Linked DNA regions of Drosophila melanogaster. The protein of the gene in region 1 purifies or fractionates together with the protein of each later gene. This does not show direct contact. Each region holds a gene or a part of one and is shown in the gene's direction. Other genes may lie near its edges.

The links. The genes of interacting proteins can lie anywhere in the genome.
Region 2: the proteins of Rassf (region 1) and Fgop2 purify together in Drosophila melanogaster (affinity purification with western blotting; one study listed by BioGRID). This does not show direct contact.

What each region holds. Positions count from the first base shown.
Region 1 is NT_033777.3:23,113,489-23,119,831, reverse strand, and holds Rassf (Ras association family member), read left to right. Parts: upstream 1-1,900; 5' UTR 1,901-2,293; coding exon 2,294-2,333; intron 2,334-2,407; coding exon 2,408-2,502; intron 2,503-2,568; coding exon 2,569-2,751; intron 2,752-2,817; coding exon 2,818-3,006; intron 3,007-3,059; coding exon 3,060-4,480; intron 4,481-4,541; coding exon 4,542-4,868; intron 4,869-4,928; coding exon 4,929-5,033; intron 5,034-5,098; coding exon 5,099-5,159; 3' UTR 5,160-5,818; downstream 5,819-6,343. Other genes in the region: CenB1A (centaurin beta 1A), read right to left, coding at 991-1,043.
Region 2 is NT_033779.5:6,942,652-6,947,129, reverse strand, and holds Fgop2 (fibroblast growth factor receptor 1 oncogene partner 2), read left to right. Parts: upstream 1-1,840; 5' UTR 1,841-1,996; intron 1,997-2,060; 5' UTR 2,061-2,133; coding exon 2,134-3,081; 3' UTR 3,082-3,952; downstream 3,953-4,478. Other genes in the region: ihog (interference hedgehog), read left to right, coding at 1-1,377.

The sequences.
Region 1 (6,343 bases):
CTTGGACGTACTCGTTCCAGAGGCTAGCTACATGGTAATTTCGAATGGAGGTCTGTCTATTTCAGCAGTCAATTCATTCTGAGAGTGGCTTTGAAAAGTCGTATTCCGTGATAATATTGCTATCATACACAGTTTTCATTTTAAACTAATGGCTTTCGAAAGCTTCATATATCTTCAAATATGTGTTCGTCATTCAAACGATTGAGCCAAATGCACAATGAGTTGAAGTTTTTGATAAAAAATAAATCGTTTAATTCTACTTAAAACTGGAAACTAGTTTAAGCTAGTTTAAAAAAATGCATAACATTGATACATTTTACTATGGTTGCGATAATATCTGCCTAGTTCTGAAGCAATAGAAATGTCCTACTTTACAGATCCTTAGATTTCTTATTTTTTATATGCATGGCAGAAAAGTTCACATATGATTCACATAATTTATTGTAGTGTACTTCGGTTTCGAAACACCAAGGTCAAGTTGGCACTTCCACAAATGATAAAAGAACCGAAGTGCAGGAGAATCCAAGATAGTCTTGATTTCCTGTTTTCTTTCAAGTGAAGCTGCTGCAGGTGCGAAAAAGTGGGGAAGATGTGATGGGGCTGCTGGGCAAACAAGTTATCGCCGCGTTTGTGCACCGTTTTACGAGGGAAAGCTTTTGTCTTTGGACACGATTAGTGGAGAAGCGGCAATTTGGGTGAAATCTTATCAATCAGCGGCGGGCATTGAAGCGTTCGCGGACGGAGACGAGAGCATCGGCAATTTAATTGCGGAAATAAAGGGGCAGGCAGGCACATTCCACACTGCTGACGGGACAAAGTTTGTTCGATGGATGATTAAGCCGCGTTTTCAGGTGGAGCAGGTGGGGCGGTGTTGGGCTGTATCTGGTTTTGGATAGTAACCAGTCACGCTACATGGAGCAATTCGAATCTCACGCCAAATGCGGCTCAGGATGGGCACACAGTGGGGGCGGGGCTGCAGCTTATATGCACCTGAATCTGGGAGAATCCTTCAGGCACTCCTCGAACTCGATGGTGGCGCGCATTTTGGCCACCACGCAAGCAGCACCTAGACTGCACTGCTGGCTATTTCGCTACGCTAATTGAGGCCCGTGAATCTTTGTTGGCCTGTTGCTGCTGCTCTGCTTTGCTTTGCTTTCCTTGCTGAAGTGGGGATTTCGATGCGCGATTTTCGAGGGCGGCTCTGGGAGAAGCTAATTGCGGGCAGCAGGAGATATGGTGATTAGTCGCATCCTTGGCAATCGACGGCTACACACGTTGAGCACTGGCCCTAATTAGCGAAACTCGCCAATTTACGCGATTCGGGGCCGAATTTACCAAATTTACACAGCGCGCAGAGACAACAAATTAAAACGTCTCACTTTCTACTAGAGCAGATCGGTGTGCCCGCACTCGCAGCGAAAACAAATCTAGCAGCGCGAATGGTCACACACTTTGGCGGGCTTATTTGCTTTTGCTCATATCTTTTAAAATTTTAAATGTATTGAATGCTTAGTGTTTTCCTTGTGCTGATTTTCGTTTTAAAACTCGATTAGTTACGAAGATTTCAATTCAAAGGCATAAAACAACGCACATTGACATTGTCAGCACGGTTTATCAGTGTTGGAAACTTTTGTAGCTAAGAAGAAGCTAATTAGGAACTTAAATTCCCTAAAAGAAGATACAGCCCAAAAAAGATTTGGGTTCTAGCCATAATCAATGTAGATGTATTTAAAGTACAAACGATGACAATTTTAAACACCAAAACAAGCAAATCCGTTTCAAGCTACCGCCAGCCAAGTCAAATCTAGCTACAAAACAGATCAGCTGACAGCACCGCTGGATTTTAGGGTGCCCGCCTTGTGCGACAAGAATCCGCGGCCAGTGCTGCACAAGTGCCATTTTTCATTTCATTGTTCTGTTCTCTTTCTGCTGGTGCTGTTTTGGTTTAAGTGCAATTATCCACACAAGTACGCACCGAAAACCGATGCACCTGCACCGTGCACCAAGTGTGGGAGTGCCCAGTGCCAGTTTCATTTATAAAACTATGAGTTTCGCACGGCAACCAGCGCAGCTGACCGACTGACCGATCAGAGTCTCACGTCCCCCCTCGCCTCATGTGTTTACCCCTTGTCCAGCGTTCTATTTGCGTTTCGTGTCCGCTTTAAATCGCCTCATTTGCATACAACTCGACGGCTTTACGTCACAACTCTTTAAAATCGGCGAAGTAGAGGAGGAGGAGTGAAACACGCCCATTCCCGGAGGAAGCATTAGACCGACCTGTTTGGAATCCAGAATGTGGAAGTGCCACAAGTGCGGCAAACCCGTTTACTTCGGTAATGCACCCACACACGAGCGCATTGCGATCCGTAAATAACTTGTAAATTATATTTATTTATGCCCCGCACAGCGGAACGTAAACAATCGATCGGCTACGATTGGCATCCGGAATGTTTGCGCTGCGAGGAATGCGGCAAACGCTTAAATCCCGGCCAGCATGCTGAGGTAGGAGGATCACCTGTTAGTTAGCCGATCATGTGATCTATATAAAGCCTTTTGTTTTCCTTTCAGCACAAAAGTGTGCCCTACTGCCATGTGCCCTGCTATGGCGCCCTGTTTGGACCCCAGTTGTTTGGCCACGGCACCCGGGTGGAATCGCACAAAAGCTATGGGGTGAAGGGAGCCCAGAAGCCAACCGGAGCTCAGGCCAATGGCCCGCCACTCCCACGTGATCACCTGGAGTCCAAACTTAAGGTGCAGAACGCAATACCCAGACATATCAATATCTCATGACTCACCAAATTCCCTTTTAATGGGCAGGTCTACAACCAATTCTACGACAACAAAAGCCTGGAGATACGTAGTCGTGAGGTCAACAACCGGTTGGTGCTGGAAGGCGCGCTTAGAGTTTACTGGGGCGTGCAGGGAGTGATTCATCTCAAGGAGGACGATGATCAGCGCATCTTAGTGCGCAAAAGGAACTCTTGCCGTGTGTCCAAGGCTGCCAATGTAAGCTGAATCTATAACATAACAAAACGTTATTTATACAATTGTACCCACAGGAAAGCAGTTCGGATAAGGAAAACGAAGCTAGCGAATCGCTGGCTCCGCCCACCACCACCACAGCCGAGGTCGATCAACTATCCACGGATGTTTCCCTTTCCGAGAGCATGACCTTCGACTCCTGTAGCCTGAACGAGATCTCCGAGTTGCCCACAACCCCAGAAGATGCCTCGGCCAACACCACAGCCAACAGCAAAGAGCAGACCAATGGTAATGTGTGCAACGACGACGAGGATACGACCACGACGGACTCATCTGGAACCCTGGTGGAGGCTCCTACTGCCAGCACAAGTTGTGTGTCCAGCACATTGCCTTCGAAGTTGGACCGTCTGGAAAAACTGGATTGGGACGACATAGACGATCTGCTGCAGGTAGAGAGACGTCACAACGACAAGGATCGCATTTATGAAACTATGCCTGTCAAACTGCCGTCGTCGCAATCCTCCAGCGACAGTTCGCCCAGCAAAACATCCACAGAGACCACTACGACCACTGAATCAAGCTCGACTCAATCGGCATCAACAAACACCAGCAGCACGGATGATTTTATGACCGCCACGGGATCGTTGACTGCCAACACCAATACGCAGAATACAACAACGGTGTCTACTACTGAGACCTCTCTGGATAACTTCGAGACTTGCGATGACGCTACCCTGAAGCCTATTGATTTCGAGGACTTTAAGCGTAGTGTCCACCAGGACTATGTAAATGGGGCCAACTCCTTTACGGAGCCCAATGAGGGCACCCTTAAGCGTAATCAACCAATTGATCCCTCTCGCATTCACGACTCCCTTAAGCTCTACGGCGAGAATTCAGCGATGAGCAAAAGCTTTAATTGTGAGCATGCATTGCGGTCAATAGATCCCACTTTAATCAACGACACCATGAATCTGCGCAGTAGTGTGGGCTCTCCTCACTCCGCACAGCGTCAGTACGCCTTACAAAAGAGTGGATCGGCCACAGTAACCAGCAGGGATCAAAAGAAGCCATATCAACAGGGGCGGCAGTTGTTCGAAAAGGGCATCAACCGCTCCAAATCGGGACCCAGCTGTTTTGTGTACTCCGACAGCGATGACGACGACGAGGCCACGCTGCGTCCCCAACGTATGGCCACCATTCGACGCAGCGACATACCTCAGCGGTACATACAAATCCAGATGGACTGTTATCCCAAAGAGAATGTGGCTGCTGCTAGCGAAGGTGAGTCAAGTCGGGCAGATGCTCCATCCATAACCAGTGGTGCAGCGGCCGGCGATGAGCTTACGCAAACCGAGGATTTGTACACTGCAAGCGAGGGCGTTGATGGTCCAGACGGAGATGGATCGGCTGGGTTGCATGTGACGGAAGATGGAGTTGTGCTGAGAAGACCTCCACGCACAGGAGCTTCTGCCATCAAGCGACGAAGTGGCAATCGTCGGTAAGTTACTGAAACTTTTAATGAAGAAATTGTGTTGTAATTCCAACTTCTTAATCAATAGTTCTCGTACCAAGCTGAAACGTCGGTGCTCTATCAATGGTCACTACTACAATCGGGAGACGTCGTTTTTCACGCCGCCCTACGGTTCTCAAATGTCAGTGTGGGTCTCCTCGATGGTGACCACCACTGAGGTTATCAACTTGGTGCTGGAGAAATACAAGGTGGACAGTTCGCCTGGCAATTTTTCACTCTTCATTGTTCGCGACAATGGTGAACAGAAACGTCTCAAGGACGACGAATATCCTTTGATAACGCGCGTCACTTTGGGACCTCATGAGGATGTGGCTCGTATATTTTTAGTGGATTCTCGCAAAACTGATGAAATCAGGCAAGTTATAACACTCCTTTTCAATAGAAGTTTGCTTACGTTTCTTTTGCATCGCTGCAGTAATGAAGTTGCTCAATTTTTGAATTTATCTTTGCCCGAGTGCCGTGCTATTCTGGAGCGCTACGACCAGGAACTGGCCCGCGAAGTGGCCAAAATAAAGGAAAGGTGGGTTTTAAAAAATAATTTTACATCCCAAGACTTTGCATTGAAAGAGAATTACTTTTCCGCAGATACGCCGAATTGCGACGTCGTATTGTCAGTCGCATGGAATCTCTGAAAGTGCATTTGTAAAACGTAAATGAAACCTCTGGCATAAGAGCAATTTTTTATTAGCCATAACATGAATGCGGCCAAAAAAGAAGTGTCGGCAGCAGCACAGCTAATAGTATTCACGTTTTTATACGAGATATATATTTTTATGTAGAATCTAGAGAAAATTACGAACTAGCAAACATTAGGCGCCCAGTGAACAAAAAGCAGCTGCTGCTCGTCGCAAAATACATATACATACATTACGTTTAGGGTTCGATTCTTCCCAGCCGAAACTAACAATCAATTCCAGGCATTTCCATTCGTTTAGAAAGCGTTTAAGACTTGTAACTAACCAAAAAATAATTATTAATCCACAACATTACCATACAGTTTTTTGTTTTATGTTAATAATCAATGTATGTGCTTTATGCAGTCACGTTAAAAGCGTTGTCATTCATGTATCTATTGTACAATGTTTAGCTTTTAAGCCGTGACATGAAGCACAGGTCCTGCTAGTAGCGTGTAGTTGAAAGCCATTTTATCGAGTCATTGAACAAATGTGTGAAAATCAATTTGATTAGAAATCGCAATGCCTGCGAAACAATAAGAATAACTGTGCACATACTTCATATTGCATAACATGGACTTGTTGATTGAAAATCATTTGGAAATCCAATAAAATGAAAATTTTACAACAGAATCGCCGCCTCTTTCGGTGACCAGCCAAGCGGAGTTTAAGGCCCCATGGTCGCCAACAAATTCCGGCAAGTAACGCGTCCCTAGTGCAAAGGGGCGAACCTAAAGGCGGCAGCAGTAGCAGAAAGTGTGAGCCGAATATTCAAAAAAGGCAGCAACCGGCGCCAGCCGTCCGTGCCCAAATGGGGATCAAGTGGAGGTGGACCTCTAGCCCCCCCCCCACACACACACACACACATACACACACTAGGGTGGGGGCAAACCGATGCCCTGTCCTGGCCAAAGCAGCCATCAAAGCACAAGTCAATGATGCCATTATAATAGAGAAACGACGGAGGAGCAGCGCGGAAATAGCGACGAGGACGAAAGTAGGCAAGCACTGGCTCACTCACATAATAAATGCACACCCCACAGCGGCACAGAGTGAGTGTGTGTGCGTGGCTATTAATTTGAAACTGACAGAGCCTACGGGTCTCCATTCCGGCTACAACGTGGTTGGGACTCCGCAACAACTACAGGACCGTGCC
Region 2 (4,478 bases), on another chromosome or scaffold:
CACAGTGCGGGTACACTGCTGCAGGTGAATCCCAAGCAGATTCAGGAACCCCGGGAATCGGGGGGTACACACAGGCCCAAGCCCAATCAGGGTTCCAGGCAGAAGCAGATGTATCCACCGACTCCTCCAAATGTAACCCGACTTAGCGATGAATCCGTAATGTTGCGCTGGATGGTGCCCCGAAACGATGGGTTACCAATTGTCATTTTTAAGGTTCAGTACCGCATGGTTGGCAAGCGCAAGAACTGGCAGACAACCAACGATAATATACCGTATGGAAAACCGAAGTGGAACTCCGAGCTGGGCAAGAGCTTCACGGCTTCGGTGACGGACCTGAAGCCTCAGCACACCTATCGTTTCCGCATCCTAGCCGTTTACTCCAACAATGACAATAAGGAAAGTAATACCTCGGCGAAATTTTACCTGCAGCCAGGTGCAGCACTTGATCCGATGCCGGTGCCAGAGCTTCTGGAGATCGAGGAATACTCTGAAACCGCTGTGGTGCTGCACTGGAGTCTAGCCAGCGATGCGGATGAACACCTGATCACTGGCTACTACGCCTACTATCGACCCTCGTCCTCGGCAGGGGAATATTTCAAGGCAACCATTGAAGGAGCCCATGCTAGAAGCTTTAAAATAGCACCCCTCGAGACGGCCACCATGTACGAGTTCAAGTTGCAGTCCTTCAGTGCCGCCTCTGCATCCGAATTTAGTGCCCTTAAGCAGGGGCGCACCCAACGTCCCAAAACCAGCACCACAGAGGAGCCAACACTGCAAATGGGCGACCGCGATACAACAACTCCCAGTCATAACGAGACATTCAATATGAGTCCCATGCTGACGGGAACAATCGGCGGCGGGGCAGTGCTCATTCTGCTTCTGATTAGCACCTGTTTCTGTGTTTGCCGGCGTAGGAATTCCAGAAGCCGGGGAAACAATCCAAACAAGCCACGGATGGCGGAGCTGAGAGATGACTTTGTGCCGCTGGGCAACTGCTCGCCCACCAAGCAGCGCCAGCGAACACGACACATCCACATAACCTTGAATCCACTCGCCCAGCAGCAGCAGCAGGCGCTGGAGGAGAAGAATGACACAGACCAGGATGCGCCCTATTATCAGCGGCCGTCGAGCTATGACTACGATCCCACGCTGCGCAGGATGTCCTCCTCCTCGCTGCGTCGCTCACAACGCACGCTGGAACGTGCTGGCGGCAGCAATGGCTCCAACAACGGCAACAACAACAATCTAAATCAATCCGCAGAGGCGGGTTCCATCGAAAATCCCGGCAAGCCGGGTCGTGTACTCATGAAACGCCCCCGTCTGTCCAGTCGCTCCGAGAACCTCTCCTCCGGCAGCCTCAACAGCGTTGGCGTGTAATCGCAATCTCGTGATCTTTAGTCTGTGCATCCCTACGCCCGATGTACCATGCTATTCCTCTACCTCTGTTTTATCTACCACTTTGAATGACAAAACCTTTGCTGTTTGTACTTAAATAGGTACTTAAATAGACATAACTAGATTTATGTATGCATGATCGTTTAAGAACATAGCATTATGTCCATTCTACGCTAAGTCTTCCATTTTTCGCGATAAGATCAAAATCTGTACTGATAGCTTCTTAATGACCTATACAAAAATGACAATAAAGCTTGTAGCTTCACCTTTTAACCTTAAAAGAGTTTTTTAACATAAACATAAAGGATTTAGCCAAAAAAATGACATCTCAAGCTAAAAGTTAAAAAACAAAATTATAATTTAAATCTTTGGTATATTTGCGGTATATCAAGTGTTGAAACAGTATTTTTTCGCATTCAATGAGTGGCGTTAGGGATTTGTGCAACATCCGATGGCGTTTGGGATTTAATAAGCTGTCAGCCAATAATTGGGTCGTCGTCAAAATTTCTATTAAAATCGTTTCTATTCCTACATATTTTGGCCGGAAAATCAAATGAAGCTGTTACGCTAGGGACGAAGCTGCACCTTACCCGCACCGAACGTAAGACACTGCTCGTAGGCCCCAGAAAGTGCACAAATTTAAGCGGTTCCCTTTGTTTTCGCAGTGCCAGCAGCAGAGGGCCTGGCCCCCGAAAACAATACAAATCCAAAAATCGCAACTGGACTGAATTGGGCAGGATGTCGAACCTATCCGTGGGCCAGATTATAATGGATGCGCAGCGCATGGCCAGTCGGGTGAAGGACCTGGACGCCCTGGGCACGGCGCTGCTCGAGGAGGCGGAGAACAACAATCGGCTGGTGGAGAGCCTTCGCCAGTATCAGGACGACATTGAATCACTCAACCGCATTTCGAACAACAAGACCAACGCGGACATGGTGAATCGCATTCAGCAGCAAAACATCAACAGCTCGGAGATACTCAAAGAGAATCGCGAGCTAAAGATCTTCATTGAGGACTACGAGCGTGCCATGGAGCTGATGATGCAAAAGTATCGCGAGCACACCGTCTCCAAGGTCCTGGATAGCAAGTTTAGCTTTAAGGAGCTGTACAACGAACGCATGTGGCAGGTGATCCGGGAGCAGCGCGAGAAGATCAACGAAATGGCAGCAGTGATGCAGCTAGCTGCAAGTGTAGATGACGGTGTCGTGCAGCGAGAGCTGCAGACCATATCCCAGCTGCGTCTGGAGAACGAAACGCTGCGCGAGCTGCTGCAAATCTCCAAGCAGTACGGCTCCTCGCAGCGACCGATTCGTGAGAGCGACCACCTGCTGGAGGAGAAGGCTGTGCAAACGGACAGTACGGCGGACGACTCCGCCGACGATCTGTCCATATCGGGCGCCTCGGTGGAAAACATGAACAACAACTCGGTTATCCAGATGTACAGCAGTCCGGAGCAACCGGCTAAAGTCGCCGGCACCACGAACTCATTTAACACTGCACCAGTGCATAGTCAAAGTGAAACACAAGCACCAAGTGTGACATTGGAGACGGCGCCGCCGGGGGAAGAGCCGCTGGCGAATGATAACAATAACGGACCTGCAGTCAACACAACCAGTGCACCGCCGCCAGCGACGACGTCTAACGAATCTGTCGAGGATCAGGCGACAGTAGCGCCCGCAACATGATAGGTGCTGCTGTGCAACGTTGTTGATTCGTTTGGTCTTCATTTGAATCGTATTTACTCACCCACTCACAAAACAGGCCGCGCACGAAGAGGGCCCACATAACCTGCATTAGCTCTTAGCGATTGATAATCTCTAAGTAATTTATACATAATACGAATTTCAACATATTGTCCATACGCATTGAGAACAATGAAGTTTATTATTTAAAACGAGGTAAACACACTCACACCCACACAAATGTAATGTACAATGTACCCTGTCGATTTTATGGTTTGCTAAATAAATTCCAATACAAATCGGGGAATAACCAAAGGAATGAGCATATTTAATTTAACATACAAATGTATTTCAGTAGTGTATTTAAATAAGATGTAACTTTGCTTTAGATTGCTACTCCGTAAGCTAACTAATTCTTAAGTTATTTCCCAAAAGATGTTACGAGTAGAATCCCATCTATTATGCGCCCCTCCCATGAATTTGAATATTTTTGTTAGAAGGCTTTTTAAATTTGGCCATTCTAAATCCCAGCCAAACAGAGAAGCGGTTAAATAATTCATTGGATATGACTCATTGCTTATCGAGTAAGGCTGATCAGAACTTGATATACACACATACTTGTGTGGAGTTTAAATATGAATAAAGTATAGCCACTAAAATTAACATTTGCCACAATGGTTATCAATGGTTATCGAGCAGAAGATTTATGATATAGTCATGTTAATTTTCAAAAAGTCAACTTATTACACAATGAACCAAGTTGAACAGAATCTGCCATGAGAAAAAAAAACAGCAGTAATAACTATAATTTTAGAAGCTTAAGATTCCAAAGGCAAAATATTGGGGTTTAAAAAATTTTAAATAATTTCATTATTGTATTGTTTAAGTTTAATTTGGTTATTAATCAATATGGAAAATTAGGAAAACCAATTTTTTGAATAGATATTATTGAAGTAATTATTATTATTATTAGTTACAGTGTTTTTTTTCTTTAATTCTATCAAATACATTTTTGTAATTTTGATAAATATGGAACCTGAAGTGTAAAAGTAATATTATATGGATACCCGTAAAGATTTATGGCTGAAACTTTCAATTGGCTTGGACTTGAATATTTTTGAATAATTTTCGAATCGCTCTCATCGATTCTCTGCGCCAAAATATCGGTTCTCTTGAGGAAAACACTTTTCTCGCACGACTGGTAGGTAGTTGAAGCTTTCAGAAATAATTTAAATTTAGTTTCTCGTCGATTTTCAACGCGTTCGCAGCCGAAAAAAAAGTGCCAAGGAACTGCGCCCGGTTCGCATGGCAGCCATCTATATAAGTATTTCGAGTGCTCGGGCAATCGACGGTTATATTAAAGCTATATAAATATATAGGCACATACGTGCTTGGCCTTT